Linked DNA regions of Oryctolagus cuniculus. The protein of the gene in region 2 interacts with the protein of the main gene of each other region in a biochemical or structural test. Links are inferred from orthologs where the notes say so. Each region holds a gene or a part of one and is shown on either strand. Other genes may lie near its edges. The genes, in order: MAPK10 and MAPK8IP3.

Region 1 (3,917 bases), on a different chromosome or scaffold from region 2:
TGTGTGCCTTTAAACATGGGGAGCTCTTTCATATTATCTAAAGAAATTCCTTTTACATATGATATTCCTGAAGGATACACTAACAAGGGAAATCCCATGAAATGTCCTGTAAATTTTAAATACTTATATGCTATTGCACCCACACACTCCTGATTCACTCTAACCTTGAAAAATATGGACCACGTACTATGAAACCTTTAAATACTGATAGCTACAGACGTACCAGACAATGACAGCAAAAACCACACTCAGTCCCTCTGGGATCTGCTCATAAACATCCCCTTCCAGTGAGGCAAACACACTCCTCCCAGCAGCAGATGCTGCTCTTGGGGGGAGCAGGCAGGAAGCTGGAGGCAGCTGATGTCTCCACTCTGCATCTCATTTCTTATCGCCTCATCACCAAGAATCTTTGTACTGAAACTGTGAAGATTTTGTAAGAACAGGAAGCCCCTCAAAGATACTTTAATTTGCACCAGCAGGAGGGAAGGATATGTAAATGAGGAAACAGGAAGGCTAATAATTAAGGTCATGCCACCTTTGTCATCTGATTTTCTAGTTTCATTGTGGGGGAGCAAAAATCCCGTTTGCACCATGTGATCAAAGAAGATAACCCAAGACTTTCTGTCCATTCTGAGAATAAGCTCAAGGTAAAGAAGGGAGTACATACGAGGGGCAGCAGAATTGCTCCATTCAAACTGTCCAGTCCTAAGACCCAGGGGTCAGAAGCCTGTGAGCTCACTCAGGAGCCCTGCTACCTATACTCACAACATGCATGCTTACCTAAAGCAGAAAATTTACAGAAGACTCCCTGGGCGAAATGGTCACCACTGCAACCATTTTAGGCCATTGGTCAGCATTCTGTGGGATATTCCATGGTCCAGCAGCTGGCAGGGAGAAACTGGACCTTGGGCTGGCAATGCCTGGTGTACCAACACCCATTTTCCTTGTGTCTCAGCGGTGGCCTGTCCCATATGACTTAGCCTGCCTCTTTCCCGTCAGCTCGTGAAAGTTACCATCAACACACCAGAAGCAGACAGGGCTGCTGTATAGACATTGCCAGGCTCTGCAGCAAAGGCTGCCCATGTAAACAGCCCTGTGACAGCTCCAGAGCCTACTGCCATGGGACAAGCCATTCTTTTCCTGTGGCTGCAACTGCCGTACCTTGGGAAGTTATTTGTTTAAGGATGTAAAAACAGAGACTCTGTCTTCAGATTCAAAGGAAAAAGGATAAATATATATGTATATATATATATATAATTTTCTTGGACTATCTATATAATCTGACTTAGTTGAAGATTTTCCAATATATCACATTTATTTTCCTGAAGGCACAAATACCAATATTCTGATAAACTGACATGCTCACTGACTATGATACACCTGTATTTTTTTTTCCAAAATAGCTCTGACATTTCTAGGGGACACAGTATCCCAGTATAGAATACCTGGGAATCTTGCCATTAAAAAACAATGAAGAAGAAATCTGCCTGGTGTGACTAGGAGATCACTTTCTTAAAGTGACCCCTTACCTATGTGACTGCAGTGTCAATGATTCGTCTTATCTCTAGCCTGACCCCTGTTCTGTGCTCCTCTTCCCATCCCAGATTTAACCTGGAGTTGCTCTGCAAGAGTAGTGCCATTGCTTTTGCACCTAAAATACATATAATTACCATCCCTTACTTAAACATAATTCCAAATATTTATTTAAGTTATACCTCTCAGGGAGTAAACATAAATGCGTACTAAAAGACATGATTTTTTTTTAATGTTTTATGGAACCCATAGCAATTCTCAGAAATGGTACTGAGGTCAGCACTTCTGACAAGCACAGCTGTTTTCTCTCTTCTCCTCCTCCTCCTCCTCCACCCCCCAATGTATTTGCTCCTCAAGATCTTCCCTTCTATAGCTGTGCATTGGTCTAAAGTCCCCTGGTCACAATAAGAATGCTCCCTCCCACCTTCTGTCACCCCTCACTCCAAACAGCAAGGCTTCAACACGCCCGGGTCTAGGAAGAGGTGTGCGGCACAGAGGAAAATGCTGGTGGTTTCTGGCCTTGGAGAGTTCGCTTGATTCACCTGCTTCCCACCCCATCTCCCTGCCCACCTCCCCACTTCAACTCCCCCTCCCACCCCACCAGGAGCAATCACCCCACCCTCCAAACCCAGGTCGGAGCCGAGAATGAGCAAATAGACACCTACCATTCCGTGCCTGAGAACTAGGGTCCTGATCCGGCAGTCTTTGCCCCAGAAATCCTCCCTACTTGCTTCTCATTAACCACATTCCGAACTGTGACAAGGAGGAGATTCCTTAGAGGTGGGCAAATGGTTTAAAATTAATGATGGACAGGTGATTTCCAAGAAAGCCCAATCTTAAACTCACTCACACCCCTAGAAATTGAGGGGTGAGGCGAAAAAAAGAAATTTGTAAAAATGAAAAAAGAAAAGAAAAAGGTAAGCATGTAATAAGCACCACCCACCCCCATAAAAATAAAAAGAGAAGGGGAGGTTTAGAAAAGAAAAGGAAAAAAAAAGATGACGACGAGGACGAGTGGCTTGCTGAATCACCCTCTTTCACTGCCTGGAAACCATTGTGCAGCGTGATGCTGCCGGTACCATTGTGGAACCTACCAGAGGAGACGGACAGAGGGCTTGGGGAATGGGGTTTCTATGGCAACCGAAAGGAGCACACATGACGTCAAAGCCCAGAGAGGTCTAGGGAGGGGTACAAGGGGGGAAGAGAGAGAGGAAAAAGTCTATGTGCGGCTACAAGCTCCAGCGTTTTCTGCTGAAATGAGGACCGGGCAAAATGTAAAAGAACGGGGTGCCTTGGAAGCCGGAATCTGCAACTCCATCCGGGAGCCTTCTGCACAACACAGAAAAACAATTTCCTCGGCGCAGCTCTGTCCCTTTGCCCTGCAGCCCTGACTGAGGAACAAATTCGCAAATTCGCAGACGGAAAAAAATATTCAAATGCAGGCAACCTCTGCTTTTCACCTCTCTGGAGCTTTTTGTAAACAGCAGGAAGACCCATGCAGTACCTCCAAATATCAAAACAAGCTAGATGCACAATCACGTCGGGGGAGAAGGGAGCACTAGTCTTGCCTGGACCCCAGGGTCGTTTGCACCGCACTCTTCCCCTTCCCTGTTTGCTGTTTTCCTAAAAATCCTGATAAACAACCACTAAACCAAACTCACCAGACTAATGCTGAGCTTGCAATTTGAGTGTAGAAAGAAAATACTGATTATTTAACAAATCAAGATTTTTTTTTAATTGCAGATAATTCCCTGGAAAACTGGTACAAATAACATTATTACTATTTGCTGCAAATATCTCAAATTTTATTTAAGTAATTTGCTTTGTTTTTGAATATTACAAGGGTATTTTAAGTCTCCAGAGAATTTTATATCTATAAATAGTTTCTTGCAACAAGAACAGTCCACTAGTTTTACTAAAAAAAAAAAAAATTAAGTTCATCAAATTTTTTAAAATCTTGTTGTACATAAGGAAAATTTTCACTATGTAATTTGCTGAAACCAACTCCAGCCCTTGGATTTCTCAAATTACATGATATGATGCAATTCTTTGTTCACTTAAACACCTTTGGGGTGGGTTTCTAACTATTGCAATCCAGTCCTAGGGCTGGGTTTACACAAATCCAAATGGTTTTAGAGCTATCCTACTTATATGAGTCAGGGGCTTTCTCCATATGTTAATGGAAAAATCATAACAGTCAACACATAAACTTGGTAGTAATTGTGGACAGTGAAGTACATCATAAACTGCATGGGACCACAAAAGTTTTTAGTGTTTTTGTTATTGTTACTGCTGTTTTGTTCAGGAAGAAAATTACAAATATATATATACATATATATATATATATATATATGGTGAGCTTTCTGTCATTTTAGTCCATTGGA
Region 2 (2,527 bases):
GGGTGGGCCACGGCACGGACCACAGCTAAAACCACTCCAAAGGCTCATGCTGATGCGAAACCTCCCCCTGCAACACGTCCACACATGGTAGAGGCTGGCAGAGGGGCCGAGGAGGGGCGGGGCTTTCCTCCTGATAGACAGCAGGCTCATCCCAGGGCCCACGGCTCACTGGCGCCCAGGCTCCAGGAAGACGTCCCACAGGGCTTCAGGCAGTGCCATGGAGCTGGGCAGCTCTGAGTGGACAGCCAGAGTCCAGCTGGGAGGGAGCAGGTGGCTGGCCTGAGCAGGTGGCCCCATGCAGGGACCCAGTCCATCCTCGTTCAGGTGGACTAAGACCCTGCAGCCCCAGGTTCGTGAGCTCTGGGTGTGGCCTCCGCGGGGGCTCACAGGGCTGTGACTCCCCCTGCCCCCAGCTGCCAGCGACAGCGACTACCCTCCGGGGGAGATGTTCCTGGACAGCGAGATGAACCCCGAGGACTCTGGTGCCGACGGCGTGCTGGCCGGCATCACCCTGGTGGGCTGCGCCACCCGCTGCACCGTGCCACGCAGCAGCTGCTCCTCCCGAGGGGACACCCCCGTGCTGGACAAGGGGCAGGGTGAGTGCTGGGTGCCTCGGGCTCTCTGGCCCTCGTCGCTGTCTCTGCCCAGCCCAAGCTCACCCCTCCTCCCACAGGAGAAGTGGCTGCCGTCGCCAACGGGAAGGCCAACCCTTCGCAGTCCACAGAGGAAGCCACGGAAGCCACAGAGGTGCCAGACCCCGGGCCCAGCGCGCCAGAGGCGGCTGCTGTGCGGCCCGGGACCCTCACGGAGCACGTCTTCACCGACCCAGCCCCAACCCCGTCCGCAAGCACCCAACCTGACAGGTGGGCCCTCCGGACAGGAGCAGAGGGAGGCTGGCCACGGCGGGCAGGGCCTGGGGATCCCAGGGCAGGCGCGTGCTCCGAGGGCCACCTGTGGCCATCGTCCCTCCCACAGTGAGAATGGCCCAGAGCCGGACGGGAGCGTTGCTCAGCCGGAGCCGGAGCCCAGTGGGGACCCTGCGGGGGCCAGCAGCAGCGCCGCGCCCACCATGTGGCTGGGAGCCCAGAATGGCTGGTAGGTGGTGCGGAGGGGGTGGGGGCAGAGGGGCGGGGAGCCTCTGGCCCACCGCCCGCTCCTCCCACAGGCTCTATGTGCACTCGGCCGTGGCCAACTGGAAGAAGTGTCTGCACTCCATCAAGCTGAAGGACTCCGTGCTCAGCCTGGTGTACGTGACCCCGAGTTGGGGGCGGGGGGTCGGGAGGGGTCCTCGCTCAGCCTGAGCCCCCCTCCCGTTGCAGGCATGTCAAAGGCCGAGTGCTCGTGGCCCTGGCGGATGGAACTCTGGCCATCTTCCACCGTGGCGAGGGTAAGCCTGGCCGCTCAGCCTGGCGTGCGTAGGGGTGGTGTGCGGGCCCCGCCAGGCTGAGCGGCTGTCGCGGGCTCTCTGCAGATGGCCAGTGGGACCTGAGCAACTACCACCTGATGGACCTGGGCCACCCGCACCACTCCATCCGCTGCATGGCCGTCGTGTACGACCGTGTGTGGTGTGGCTACAAGAACAAGGTGCACGTCATCCAGCCCAAGACCATGCAGGTGGAGGTGAGGCCGGGCAGCTCTGCCGCAGGTCATGTGCAGGCCCCGCCCCTGCCCCTTGGCCTCCCCCAGGGGCCTGGCCCTCCGTGAGCCAGGCAGGTGCTGGGTGGGGGCTTGGGGGCGGCCCCCTGGCAGCGTGACCCCGAGGCTGCGACAGGCAGTTCCAGGTTCCCCGCCCCTTCCGGTCCCTCCCACTCCATGACCAGCCTCCACCACCCCGCAGAAGTCATTCGACGCCCACCCACGGCGGGAGAGCCAGGTGCGGCAGCTGGCGTGGATTGGCGACGGGGTGTGGGTGTCGATCCGCCTGGACTCCACGCTGCGGCTGTACCACGCCCACACCCACCAGCACCTGCAGGACGTGGACATCGAGCCCTACGTCAGCAAGATGCTGGGTGAGGGGCTGTGCTGGGTGGGGCAGCGTGGGGGCCCCAGCCCCGGCACACACACTGACCACTCCCCCCACAGGCACCGGCAAGCTGGGCTTCTCTTTCGTGCGCATCACGGCCTTGCTCATTGCCGGCAACCGCCTCTGGGTGGGCACTGGCAACGGAGTCGTCATCTCCATCCCCCTGACGGAGAGTGAGTGACCCCCGCCTGCCCCGGGCCTGCGCGGGCTCCTGCCCAGGGTGGGGCTCCGCGACCTGGCTCCTGATGGCCTCTCCTCCCCCTTCTGCCTCCCTGCCCAGCTGTGGTCCTGCACCGAGGCCAGCTCCTGGGGCTCCGAGGTAAGTGCAGGGCGCCCACCCCGGCCCCGAGCGGCTGCGGCGTCCGTGCTCCCGCCGGCCGGCTCAGCCCCTCTGGCTCCTCTGTCTCAGCCAACAAGACGTCCCCCACCTCTGGGGAGGGGGCCCGCCCCGGAGGCGTCATCCACGTGTACGGGGACGACAGCGGCGACAAGTCCGCCAGCAGC

What was found.
Region 1: the proteins of MAPK8IP3 (region 2) and MAPK10 form a complex in vitro, tested with the Homo sapiens proteins (3 studies listed by BioGRID, with this or other methods). The link is inferred for Oryctolagus cuniculus from reciprocal best matches to the Homo sapiens genes MAPK8IP3 and MAPK10.

The regions. Positions count from the first base shown.
Region 1 is NC_091439.1:81,604,680-81,608,596, forward strand, and holds the start of MAPK10 (mitogen-activated protein kinase 10), read right to left. Parts: upstream 2,639-3,917; 5' UTR 2,199-2,638; intron 1-2,198. UniProt on the Homo sapiens protein: Serine/threonine-protein kinase involved in various processes such as neuronal proliferation, differentiation, migration and programmed cell death.
Region 2 is NC_091450.1:33,394,558-33,397,084, reverse strand, and holds part of MAPK8IP3 (C-Jun-amino-terminal kinase-interacting protein 3), read left to right. Parts: intron 1-413; coding exon 414-596; intron 597-673; coding exon 674-863; intron 864-975; coding exon 976-1,095; intron 1,096-1,165; coding exon 1,166-1,246; intron 1,247-1,319; coding exon 1,320-1,387; intron 1,388-1,471; coding exon 1,472-1,620; intron 1,621-1,837; coding exon 1,838-2,009; intron 2,010-2,082; coding exon 2,083-2,196; intron 2,197-2,303; coding exon 2,304-2,342; intron 2,343-2,432; coding exon 2,433-2,527.